Oreochromis niloticus: one gene and its partner. The protein of the gene in region 2 interacts with the protein of the main gene of each other region in a pairwise test. Links are inferred from orthologs where the notes say so. Each region holds a gene or a part of one and is shown on either strand. Other genes may lie near its edges.

Region 1 (6,992 bases), on a different chromosome or scaffold from region 2:
TCTGGTCTCTTCAGCTAGTACTTCAACATCAAGAGCCTTCAAGGGGCATTACTGTGTGAATCATGACACTACAAGGATGCACTACAGGCTACTTTACGAATACCATTTCTAACAACGAGGCTAGGATATAATTTTTTTTTTTTTTTTAAATGAGTCAACAAATTGCTTTTAAAACAGGAGACCAGCTGTCATTTTTAACATCCTTTTGAGAAATTAACATTAGTACTAAGAAAAATTAGTACTAATGTACTTAGTACTTAGAAGTACTTGTCATTTAAATCATGCCATTTAAAAAAACGAAAAGAAAAGAAAAAGCCAAAAGATCTCTGGTTCCAGTTTCTTAGCCAGATGTCCTACATTTATCAGTTTCATATTATTGCAAGCTAAATATCTTTGGACTGTGGGCCAACCAAAAAAAGCTGCCAATTTTAGCCATTTTATGCAAAAAATAAATAAATAAATAAATACAGAGAAGGACATTTTACATGAAAAATATATATATAATTAACCTGTCAAGTTTTCCTTGTTGTACAGTCTTACAAAAGCAGCATGTCTTTGCATAATTGCATTCTGCACCTTCTTGATATTTGCTGGCTAACATAAAGTAACATATCTGCTGTAATATAATATTAGTTCACTTTTCCAGGCTCCCTAATAACTACTTCAGTTGGTTGCAAACAGCATTAGCTAGTGATGCACAATTAATCAAATTTTAATTACAATTTTGGCTTCTAACTATATTTAAAACAAGACAGTTATTGTGCTGCACTCACAATTTGGCTTTCAGCCCCACCTACAATACTTTTGTCATTCCATAAAACTCCAGATTTTCTCCCTGAAAGACTGATTCAAAGAGTCAAGGATATTCACCATTCAAATAGCATGATTTTAAGTTCAATGAAGCCACTATGGCAATCGTGAGAAATGACTTTTGTCATAAATGAGCAGCCCTAGAATTAACGCCGAACAGCTAGACCTAGACACTACAGTCTAAGAGCAAAACCTGAAGTAATCACAGTCATGGCATTGACCTGACGGGCTCCTACAAGTCACATCCACTGCTCAGCATCCTTCCAATGCTGATATGGAAAACACTAGAAACCTGCACAAGAAGTGTCAGGATGGTTCAGACTCTGATGAAGTTGAACTGGGATCAGATTCTTTGCGTCCCAGACATGTCAATCTACCACAGCAGACATAACTATCAAACACATGGGTTTTCATGGTGCTATGTCAAACATGCTCGTAACTCAGCGTTGGGTTTGTGTTGTGTTAGGGTGGACACTTCACTCCAACACATAGCAGACATGTTATCCAACCATACAGTGACACAGGGACACAAGACTTAAATCTGTCATGTTTCTTCTTCTATTTATCCTACAACAACAGTGCTTGTCTAAAACTGTCAACTAAAGAGTTTATTTTGGTTTAAGTCTCTCTCATAAAGGAAAACCTGCAACGTATGGAGACCTTGCAGTTTACTAGTTATCAGCAGCTGTTACAGTGGATGGAAAATATCATGCTTTGTGTTCACCGACGCAGATATCAAGCTCATAAAAGCCTCTGATAATGACAGTCACAGTCAAGAGGCTTCATGCTCATTTTTAAGCTGGAAAAAAAGCTGTCGTAAATACAACTTAAAGCACAACATACTGAGAATGCAATCACAGACAAGGACAAATTCCTGTCCTTTGAGTAATCTGATATGTCATCTTCAATAATGTCAAGAGAGCTAGCTCTAGTTGTTGTAGGTCTCTGCCTCCCTCTGCAATCTTCCCTCACATGCACTCTCACACAGGCAGAAATTCGTAAACACATGGGGACACATGTCCTCTGAAGTGCATCAGCTGAACAGCCACGTTAAGTCTTTATACATCAATAAACACTACAACAATATACTTTCTTAAAGCTTAAAATGGCAAGGTGTAATACGTGTTTACTGATTACAGAGTGATATATGGTTTAGTGGCATCCAAATATGATACATTTCGAAATGTGTAACGCTTCAAATCAAGAGATTTAGCTAATTAATTAGGTGATCATGAGAAACTTAATGAGCAGTCTTGATAATTGTTTATCAAGCATTTTCAGTCATTTATCACGGGGAAAGAAAACTTGCTAAATCCTCAATTTCTTGTTTCTCAAAAGGAGAAGCTTGGCTGTTTTTCTGTTCAATGTCACCGTAAACTAATTTCTACACAGAACAAGATGAAACCCTCGGGCGACTGGTGGCCATTTCTTCCACTTTTTTTAATGTTACAGACTAAACAGCTAGTTGATGAAGCAAGATAACAACATATGACACAGAAAGACCACCCATTTATCCGCATAATGCATGCACCCCCCCCCAAAAAAAGCAAAGCAAAAAAAAAAAAGAAGAAAAGCGGTAGTTTATAAATAGCACAATAATCATCATTCCCAGCTGAAAATGGATTACATGGTTAAATACGGAAAAGCTCGTCCCGGTGAACCCTTTACGGTGATTTAAGGGTAATTAAAGGGAGTTTAGCTTTAAGACGAAAAGCTTCGCTTCTACAACATTTTTGGGAAACCTTTGCTGCTAAATTCCCTAAGTTACCCACTTTTTTCCCGCTTTTGTAAAAAAAAATTGGTACAAGACACAACTTTGCGGCTAAATTTCCACTGCTGTCTGATAACTTGTGCGCAAAAAGAGGAAAAAAAGTTTGAAGCTGCCAACTGACAGTGATGTGCGGATAACTGCTGGGATCTACTTCCTTAAAAAAACAGAGTCGAGCACACTGTGGCTACCGAAATAAAAACAGTTAAAGGCAGTTTTCATTTATAATTCTGTGAAAAAAGAAAAACTTTACCGCACCTTTTCTTCCTCTGTAGCTTTCTGTTTCTCGGCGTCGCTGGCTCCTCCTGTGTGCTCTCGCCGCCTGACTGTGGGTCTGCTCGGCCTGGCGTCAGTGAGTCGCGGAGCCGTCTCACACTCTCCCGAGCGCCAGTATCACACCGCCGCGAGATGCGGCCCCACCGGCAAGAGGCAGACCTACTTTTTGCACATCTAACATCTTCATCGAGAGCGTGGAAGTGGATTATGTAATAGCGAAACGGTACGGTTTTAGTGCAAAGGTGTGGGGTTTCTTTAGTGCAAAACGTGTCTGTTAAGATAGGTGAAATGTCGGGGTTTTTGGGGAGACAGGGGAAAAGAGGCTCTAAATAATAAGTCTAAGTAATAAGTCTTTAATCTTTACCACTCTGTTGTCTCCCCCAATACAACAGACATCAATCGGGAGTAAATGAGGAAATATTTTGAAAAAGCTCGCTTTTATCTAAAGCAGTAATATTTCCGAGAGGCTGTTTTTAAGTGACACATCTCTGTGGTTTATCTGTGAACTCCTGAACTTAAAGCCTACCTCTCGGTTTCCCGTCTCGCTTTGACTGTGACATGATAAGCACAGTTCAGCCAGAAGAACAAAAGTGTCCCACGAGCACAGTCAGCACAGGAACATGCTCATACATGCCACCATCCCCACCTCCTCAGACACTGATGCACGCTTTTTTGGGTCCCAGTGAGTACTGCACGATGACACGTGAAAACACAGCCTTCCTGCAGGACAGCAGCTGCAGAGGACATGAAAGTTTCTTGCACACCAATGAGCCCAATCTGTCCATACTTGTGCATGTGCCGCAGACTCTGAATTGACCATGAGGCCCAAGGGGAAGTAACCCATTATCTGATCAGATGTGAATAAGTCACAAAAGCGACAAAAGCGCGATAACTTATCTGAATGATAAGTAAACTTTAAACAGTCTTTTTTAAACAGTCAGAGCTTGTAGATGTTATTAGAGATCCTCGAAAAAATGAGATATAAGTTCAAAAACGCCACAAAGTGTCCAAAGGGTGACCACAGGCTTATCAGTGTAATAATTTGCTCAAACACACAATGATGACTTAAATATACTTTAACACTGGCAAAAAAAACACGGGCTTCGATCGTTATTGTTTTTTGTTGTTTTTTTCATTATATTTAAAAAAGTGTAGTAACATCTCTTTCTGTATTTGCCAGTTCATTAATCAAGTTCAGGGTCGCTGCGGTGAGGAGGGAGGGGGACTAGATTCTCTTGAAGACAGGCGGAGGGAAACGTTCAGAGCGGAGGAGGCTTCTGGCGCAGGTGACGTCACGGCGCTGGCGACAGAATGTCTGAGCGAGGCGGGAGCGAGCCGCACGTGAATAAATCTGGGAAAACAGTGCGAGCGGGGAGGGTGGGTGGAGGTGGGGGGTGTAAGGGAGGGAGGAAGGGATGGCGATGATGATCATGATGATGATAATGAGAAGGGATAGGAGGAAGGGTCCCCAAAACTTTTTTTTGCTAGAGGATTCCCCTCACACACACGCACACACAGGGCAGCAGCACATTCATTAGACCCCATACATTTATAGTCCTATTAGGGAGAAAAGCCTACTGAGCTTTTACAGACTCATCGAGTTTTATCTCATTAGAACAGCAAAGTTTAACCTCTAATATTCCAATTAAGGTAATTTAACTTTTATATTCGCACATCACACTTTCAGATTTTGACACTGCTGCTTCCTAGTGCTCTGCTCTCTGGTGTAAAGCAGGCCCTGAACCTAAGTACCTTGCTTCATAATATTTCTGAGAGTGGAAACAAAAAGTGGAAACAATTCCACTTTGTTACACATGACAGCTCAGCTCATAAAATATTAGTCATTGTTGCAAGCTTCCCAGACAGCTTAATGTGGTCAAATGGATCTCCACCTCGACAAGTGACCTTAACAAAAAGAAACAAATGAACAATGTAAAGAACACATTGGAATATTGTTTTTTAAATGCAGTTTACGGGTTTTATGCTCTATTATAGACAACTCCAGTACTCCAGAGCTACAAAACTGCCAGCTAGGACAGGGTTAAGCAACATCTGCCTATATTTTGCTTTATATTTTTTTACCATTGCAGAAGTTAGAATATTTTAAAGCCTTTTCAACACTGATAGGAGTATAATCTTCTTTGTCACTGGCCTGTGATCTAAAAACACCCACATGCCCCCCCCCCCCCCCCCCCCCCAATGCTTTCCAGCCCCCATGCCCCAGAATCATATTGGGGAACCACTGGATGCAACGGTGAAAAAAAAAGATGTTACAGATGCTCAAAAGATTTGCTGGCAAATTTGATTATTTGACAGACGAGTATCGGCCATCTTCTTTTTTATACAGCAAAATGCAAATACTTGCATTTCTGGAGCAGTGGCTAACATGAAGCAAATTACATTTCAGGTCATACAAATTCACTCATGCAGTCGCTGGAAATGAGATTATGTGAGCAATAAAAATAAAAATCAATTACCGTTGCTTATTTACCTTGCTTATGTGCTTATTATTGTATCAGTGGCAAGGAAACTACCCAAATGTTTATACAGAGGGTTCCTCATCATTGTAATGATGACAGTAGATACTGTAATGGCTGCAACTCACTTTGCTTTTTCTTTTTATGTGAGACGTACAGTGCTCATGCATATTCTGATCAGAGCGGTTTCCTGTCCTTACACTGGCTCTGTAGTGGCAAGGACTCAGCGTGGATTAAATTAGACGATATCTATTGTGGAGCCATCACACAGCAGGACACCAACCGCGGATGGAGACGAGGAAAGAGCGACAGAGAGGTCAGCTCTTTCCCAGTTCTCTTGATTGTCATGCATGTGAATTCAGCCTTAGGTCTGCTGTATTTGCATGGATAAACACACCATGAATCTAAATCCACCACCAGATATGGAGGAGATATATATGTTCATGAAAACCACGTGAATGCTCTTGCTTCAGTTTAGCTGTGTTTAAAATGCATCTGAAAACATCAAACAGACTTTGATCTCTGTTCACGGCAGTTTGGAGACATGAAGTGGCCACTTCACGGATAACAAACCAACCTTTTGTTGTGGTATAATGGACCTGCCAGTCTCCACTGGTAGTGTTCAAGAGGCACAAAGGTGATAAGAGTTTGTAAATCAGGTTGTCTTTTGTTCTAACTGACTCTGAGAAGGAGAATTTTACCTACTGTGAGCTCTTTTGAGGTCAGACACCTTAGATGGAGAAAATAAATATGGATGAATAAGAATAGGATGCTGGCAGATAAATGCAAAGAGCAACTTTCATTGAAGTACTTCTTTGTCATTTATCTCCAAGTCTGTTATGCTGATATACAGCATATGGTTTACTTATTAACCTAAATAAACTTGTTGGCATTATGAGAAAGGGTCTGCCGCCTAGTGAAATGACTGTGCTGCATGTGATTGTTTAGATAAGGAGATTTAGCTCGTTAAAATCTACAGTACTGTACAAAAATGTCGAGCAACCGCTTATTTCTTTATATTTTACCGTGAAAATGGAAAACATAGATGAAAATACAGTATAACAATGTATATAAGGGGGAAAAAAACCCTTTAACTTGACTTAAAAATGTCAAGTTTGGTTTGGCCAGCTTTATTTTTAAATGTACCCGGAACTCTTTTAGACAAGCTCTGTTCTGTTGTTCTGTTCACTGTCAGGATGATCCCACAATGCTTCAATAATGTTCAGGTCCAGGCTCCGGGGAGGCCAATCCATGATTGAGAGCGTGACATTATGTGTTTTTCTATCGAGATATGCTTTTGCTTAACTGACAGTGGGGTTGGAATCACTTTCATGCTGAAAAGTGACACTATTATCAGCCAGCTAGTTTTAAGATGGCGCTGAATGTCTAACAGTACTTTTATATGTTCATATTTGCATAATGTTGATAAGATCCCCAACACCACTGGCTGACATGCAGACCCAAACCACAACATAGCCTCCATTGTGGTTTATAGATGCCTTTAGAAACTCATGGTTGTACTTGCTCCTGACCTCCTCTGTTCATGCATGCAAAACTTCACATTTGGATTCCTCACTCCATGAGACCTGTTGCCACTGATTTTCAGTCATATTCTTGTGTAACTTGGCATACCTCAGCCTTTTCTTCTTGTTTCCCTTGCA
Region 2 (7,148 bases):
CATATTTAAAAGTAGAATGGGAGGCAGAGCCTTCAGCTTTCAGGGCCCCCTCCACTGAACCAGCTCCCAGTTTGGACAGACGTCCTCGCTACCTTTAAGATTAGGCTTCAAACTTCAAACTTCCCCTTTTGGTAAAGCATCTGGTCAGGGATGGATCCGGTGACCCTGAACCCTCCCTTAGTTACTGTGCAATAGGCCTAGGTTACTGTGGGCTTCCCATGATGCACTGAGTGTTTCTTGGTGGCTCACTGTGCTTACACACCTCTCTGTATGTAATCATTTATCTATCATCGCTTGCTCTTTTCCACAGCCTGTCTTTCTCCCATCACCCTCACCTGGTCGTGGCAGGTGGCTGCCCCTCCCCAGGTTCTGCCAGAGGTTTCTTCCTGTTAAAAGGGTGTTTTTACTTTCCACTGTGTGCTTGGTCACAGGGTGTTGTTGGGGTTGTCTCTGTATACGGTAGAGTTTCTACCTTACAATACGGAGGACTGCTCTTGTGATTGGTGCGAGACGAATAAAACTGAATTATTGCTGAATCATAAACACTTTCCTGAACTGAGACAAGTGAGACCAGCAGTTCTTGAGAGCCTTTTTTGTGACCTTCTGGATGACTATCTGATAACTCTCGGTTTCTCTCGGTAGGCCGTCCACTCCTGGGAAGTTTCATCACTGGTTCAAGTTTTCTTCAGTTGTGGATAATGGCTTTCACCTCAGTTTGCTCCCAAAGCCTGGCTTTGTAACCCTTTTCAGACTGATGGATGTCAGAGACTTTGTTCTTATGTTTCTTTAAATTGTAGTTAATTAATGATTAAACAAGGAGGCAATTACTTTTCAACATACGGCCCATTAGACCTGTATACCCGTTTTCAGATCAAATCCTCATTTATCATATTGTATTTACTTGGATTATCTTATATCTAATGTCACAATTTAGTTGATGATCTGAAGCGTGTGACAAATATACCAAAAAAAATAAATAAATCAGCTTTAGAATGAAGCATTGTAAGTTACTGACATGGTACACACTGTTAATGTAATCACATTTTCTGTGCTGTACATTTGAAAACCTCTTAACTTAAAGAGTAGGGAGAACCTGAAGAAAGTATTTACTTACATTAGGCGTGTCAAACTCCGGGGGAGGGCTATTAACTGAAAATGAAGACGAGACAGACAGTCAGGACAATTCTCAAAGAAGTTTCCAAAGTACATGGATTGAGAAAAACATCGATAAATTACTTTTTCTGTTAAATATAAAACTGTTAGTGTGTGCATTCTTAGCTTTTGCACATTCTGCCTCATTTTAAGTGTAACATGATTCTTTTGATAGTCACATAATCCTTTTATCTGTAGGGGCACAAAAAAACAACTCCTCAGAAATAGGTGGAAGTGAATTTGGAGCACCGTCTCCTTCCGACTGCTGCTTGTTCTGTGCTTGGGCAGACTGACTGTACGGATTCCTTCCAGTCTAAAAATGCTCATCTTTGGATCTGTTTGTATTTGGGAATCTCTCCAACTTTGGTGTTTGTTCATCAGGAACATCCACTCAAAATACACAAAGAATAAACACTTCTATACATTACCAGGCAATAAAACAATTACATGCATTACAGTCCCTAAACTGCCACAACTTTAACACTCCACGGAAACCAAATAGGCAGTTCGCCCAGATACTTACTGACGTTATCCACCTCCAAGGCTCCTGAACCCCTCATCCTGAGGTACATGAGCCCCAGCAGCACAAAGAAGAGGCACGCCGCTGTGAGCAGGAACATGGACAGGTAGTGAGCGCTAAAACTACCTGAGGAAGCTAGCTCTTCCCTTTTGAACTGCTGGAGAAGCTCATCTTCGGGAGCAGACACGTTTCTCTTGAGCGCTGCGTGGCCGCAGGAATGGTTGGGAGCAGGGGTGTGATTAGAGTGGTTGCGCCTGTACGTCTGCGACAGACCGCTGTAGGTGGAGAAGCGCGGTCTCAGCTCGGTGCTGTTGCTTCTGGATGCTCCATCCTCCCCCGTGGCCGGACTGTTTTTACCGGTATATCCTTTGTGGTTTTCGGTAAGTGACCCGTAGATGGGTTTCCTTGGAAGTGTGTGACTCCGCGAGTCTCCCAAGCGGCTAAAGTCCCTTCTCTTTAAATCATCTTCCTCTTCATCCTCACCTTGACTCCCCCCCATGTTTAGAAAACGACGAGGCGTAGCTTCTGTGTTCTGCCCATCGGTCGCAGACCCTCGATCAGTAACGTCGGAAGATAACGCCACACTGGGGTGGTTTCGTCGAGGCTCCAATCTGTCGCATTCTGGGTCGCCGACGCCAAGCCCACTAACTTCCTCCTCGTCCGAGTCTGAGTAATCTCCAGCTAATTTGCTAGCATTCAGGCGAGACGCCCCGCGACCATTTAAAGAGCGGGACTTCTTTTCCATATCCTCCTCATAATTGTCCTCGTCCCCCGAGTCGTCGTAACGCCGTAGTCCCGCATCAGACCTGGATCTGTCACCGACTCCCCAGCCCAGTGAGACACGTCTCTCTCCGTTCTGACCCAGGGAAAAATTGCTGCTTGGTGTCGCACTGTGGTCGTACCGACTCTTGATAGCCACACTCGGCGTTGAGGCAGGCCTAATCTTAGGCTGCTGTTGAGAACTGGAGCTTCTGTTCGCTCTGCCACTGTGACCGAGGCCTTTCCTCTTTAGTGGGGTTTCAGCGTCAGACTCGTCGGAGCTGAAGCCGAGGAGGGAGGACTTCCGGCCCGGTCTCCTGCTTGTATTCAGGTGCGTGACGTCATGGCTGACTGGCCTAGATGCCACTGTGCTACCGCCGCCAGTGGTACTGTTAATGGCACCGATAGTACGGGTTTTACCAGGTCTTAGTCCTCGCTGCTGTTGCTCTTCGCGAAGCTTCTTGAGTTTCTTCAAGTACACCGGACGAGTGTTTTCAGTAACGGGCCCTGGAGTGAAACCAAAACGTTTTAATTCCAAAAAAAGCTCCTCATCCGTTAACTGCGTTGACGCCATCTTGAAAAGACCTCGAAGACGGTTCTGTGACGGAAATGACGTAGAGGTGAAGTGGCAACCAACTGGGTTGTGTTCAAAATCACCAACAAGCTGCGAAAATATGTCGCAGACACCCCCCTTTATTACGTCGCGTATGTTTTCAAATAATATTTTGTTTCACTTTTTCTGTGCGCATATTAAATATCTAATTACTTTTTTTTCAAACAAATAGCTTTATTGAACACGTATACAAACAAACAAAAGTAACCATCTAACAACTGAAGGCACGCACGGTAACAACGAAAAACATCCAAGTATGAAAAATATAAATAAATACAAATCACACAAAAAGGAAAAAGAGTCAGAGAAAACAATCACATTAAATCAAAATTGTTAAGTAATGAAAGTAATTTCACGTCACAGACTCACGTCATTCTTCCAGTAATTCAAGTCAGGCTTAGCTTTGAAAAATCTGCATCAGTGAATAAAATATTTTCCAATTAAATTTACTGTTTTTCTCGTTTGTTTGTTTTCTGTTTTTTTTTTTTTTAAACAATTGTTGTTGTTGTTGTCTTTTATCTAAAAATTCCACTTTACTACTCAGTGAATGGAGTAAATGGTCCAAAAAAGGACCAAGAACATCTTCAGAGACTGGATGAAGTCCTGCGGCAATTAGAGGAGGCGGCCCTGAGTTTAAATGTCAGTTCACAGAAAAGGAAGTGACATTTTTAGCACACCGGGTGGATAAGACAAGTTTACATCCAGTGCTGGAGGCGGTACCCCCAAAATCAGTGACAGAGCTCAAAGCTTATTTGGAGTTGTTGAACTTCTGTTCTTGCCAAACTTGTCCACGCTGGTGGGCCCACTGCACAAGCTTCTGAGAAAGGAGGAACAGTGGTGTTGGGCACCAAAGTTTTCTGCAAGTCAAAAACTGGAACTGGTGCAGTCAAGTAGTGTATTGGCACACTATGATGAGAAGAAAGATTTAATTCTATCTTGCGATGCGTCCACCTACAGAGTGTGAGCAGTGCTAGCTCACCGCATGCCAGATGGTCATGCGGGTGTGACTGATGTAGCTGTGCCCTGTTGGCACAGTCACACCCGGGAATGAGACGCATGAAGGGCCTGGCCAGAAGCTACATGTGGTGGCTGCATATGGAGACTGACATTGAAGACAAGGTGAAGTACTGCAGTACGTGTCAAGAACATAGACTCAGGCCTCAAGAGGAACCGCTACACCCCTGGGAGTGGCCGGAGAAGCCATTGAGAATACAGATAGATAGATAGATAGATAGATAGATAGATAGATAGATAGATAGATAGATAGATAGATATAATTTTATTTCGAACATGCAAATATAATTGAAATAACAACAGAAAAAAACAAAACTTAAAAATCATCAAGTTTTCATGTATATACCTATGTCTACAGAATGTGTGTGCTTGAAAAGGAGTAGGATGAAGTTTACACTTTTCTTGTTCCTACCCCCTTATTTCAAATTTCATTGCTTACAAATCCATATCCAGGACTCAACATTATTTGATCAGATATGTTTAACTATGTACAAATCTAACACATTGAACATACAGAAATAAAACCGTTTTCAGCATGTAAACCAGAACAACGACAAACTACATTTTTACATAAACTAATCTCCCTGTCTATAACACCCCTTAATCGCTGAGCTTATTTTATATCTATGTGACAAACACCTTAATGAACACTTAAGCTTGGGTTACTCAGGCCTTGATCTATAAAAAATGAGGACACAATGAGACGACTCAGTCACTGAGAGGAAGATTTCCTATATTCATGCAATTTATTATTTTTGAACAATCGTGTGAGTTTTTGTATTGATGTACTTGTCTTGATCTCACCTGTACAGGTGTTCCACACACTAACTCCTCTGACTGTAATGCTGTGATATTTTACATTTGTCCTTACTACTGGCTTGCTGAACATAAGGATTCCTCTCAGGTCAGGAGTATTTGGTCTTATTTGGAACAAGTTCTGAATGTTGTGGGGCAAAGATTTATTTGCTGCTTTGTAAATTGTTTACGCAGTTCTGAGGTCAACCAAATCTTTAAATTTGAGAATATTTAATTTGATAAAAAGTGGATTTGATGGTTCTCTTGAAGTAGTTTTATTTATTATCGATTATGCTGGCCCATTTTTGGGTAAAATGTTCCTAGTAATAGTGGACGCCCACTCCAAATGGTTATATGTGTGTCCAGTGGCATCAGCTGCCACTATAGACTGCTTGAGAAACCGTTTCAGCGCTCACGGTGGTCTCGGACAATGCCCAGTGTTTTGTAAGTGCACAAACTAAAGAGTTCATGGCAAAGAACAGCATCACACATGTCAGCTCTGCTCCATATCACCCAGCATCTAATGGGTTAGCAGAAAGAGCGGTGCAAACTTTCAAAGAACTCATGAAAAAGAGTACCGGAGACACACTGGCAACCAAGTTAAACAGGGCTTTGTTTAGTTACCGAATCACAACAGCGTCCCCCGCTGAGTTGATGATGGGCCGGAAGTTGAGTTGTACTCTTGATCTCATACACCCCGACTTGAAATAGAAAGTGACATCAAAACAAGATAGCCAAAGACTGCATCATGATAGACATGCCAAGGAGGGCACATTGGTTATTGGAGACACAGTGTATACCAGAAACTATGCCGCAGGACCCAAATGGATACCAGGACTTATACAGGAAATGAAGGGGCCTGTTTCCTGCACGGTGATGCCGGGCAATGGGAAGGTGGTGGCTGTTTGCCCGCCTGGAGCCTTACCTACCAGCAGGAATACCCGAGGGCCACCAGGGCGAGCCCCCAAAAGCTGCACCAATCATCCATGCTGAGACGATGGACACTGATGAAAGAAACATGGAGGTGCAAGTTACACCAGTGGTGACGCCGCATACAGAGAATAGTGGCTCACAGGAGTCGCCAGCCACAGGGTTGCGAGTTTTTTACATTTTAATTAAGGTTACGTTTTTTATGGGTATTTTATGTAGTACTTAAAACTACAGAGTAGTTTCAGTTTAACGGGGGAGGAATGTTATGATGTAACAGGGGGTGGGCGGGGTTTGGTCCACCAGGGGGCAACAGTCTGTGGAGAGCGGTGTCAGCGTTGGTTGGGTATGCTCCATTTCAGTAAAGACATGACTGTGAGGTCGACATAGTCTCTGTGGTTCCTTATTGCACGGCATATCACATTTAGTCTTCTAAGTAGTCTTGTGCAAAAGTCTTGAACCACCATTTCTCTGTTTTTGTTGGGGAAATGAGTGCAATGATTTATCTTCTTCTTTGGATATTTCTGCTTTTTTATTTTTGTCACGAAGATCTGCTGAGTCGCGCCCTCAGGGAGGCCAATCCATGATGGTGTTCCAGTGTGTGTTGTATACAGTGCTTTGATATAAGAATCAGTCCATGTACCATTTACCACTGCGTGTTTTTCTATCTAACTATGCTTTTACTGCATTGACAGTGTGTTTGGGATCATTGTCATGCTGAAAAATGAGGCTGTTGCCAATTAGATGATTTAAAGATCAAAATTTAATGGTACTGTTTAAATTGATCAGTCCATCAGACCTATTGCCACTGATTTTTGCAGTCTGGTTATTGTGTAATGTTGCATACCTTTAACAGCCACCCTTTAACCCAGACCATTTCTGATGAGGCTTCAGTGATGGATCAGCTGAAGGGTCATCGCTCAGGTCCTGTTTCAGGTCTTTGCAGGAGTCTATCCTATTTCTTAAGGACATGACTGTCAGATACTGTTCATCTGCTGTAGATAGTTTACAGCCCCAAATTTCTATTCCAGCCTTTGAAATGTTCTTGTTTATATGACCTCCATAAAACAAATGGATTTTGTAGTTCATGTTCTGCACATAAGAGTTTCAAAACAGTGAACATCTGGGTTTATGTTAAGGAGAGCAGTGTGACATTGTTCTGATTCTCAGTGCACGGCTGTTTTCCTTGACCTCAAATACGTTTGCATTTAGGTCAAGGAAAAGGTTAGGAATAAGAGATAGAACATACTTTTGGAACACGCTGGAAAAGTCATACCCCACGGCATTCCCATACCTTGTAACTCGGGAGTGGCACCAAAAAACACAAAACAGTAGCAGCACAGATGAGAAGTTTACAGTGTTAGTACT

The links. The genes of interacting proteins can lie anywhere in the genome.
Region 1: the proteins of lemd3 (region 2) and smad1 interact in binary tests that used the Homo sapiens proteins (3 or more experiments, as listed by UniProt). The link is inferred for Oreochromis niloticus from reciprocal best matches to the Homo sapiens genes LEMD3 and SMAD1.

The regions. Positions count from the first base shown.
Region 1 is NC_031971.2:16,425,020-16,432,011, forward strand, and holds the start of smad1 (mothers against decapentaplegic homolog 1), read right to left. Parts: upstream 3,007-6,992; 5' UTR 2,837-3,006; intron 1-2,836. UniProt on the Homo sapiens protein: Transcriptional modulator that plays a role in various cellular processes, including embryonic development, cell differentiation, and tissue homeostasis.
Region 2 is NC_031981.2:544,597-551,744, reverse strand, and holds the start of lemd3 (inner nuclear membrane protein Man1), read right to left. Parts: upstream 3,080-7,148; 5' UTR 3,006-3,079; coding exon 1,676-3,005; intron 1,150-1,675; coding exon 1,115-1,149; intron 1-1,114.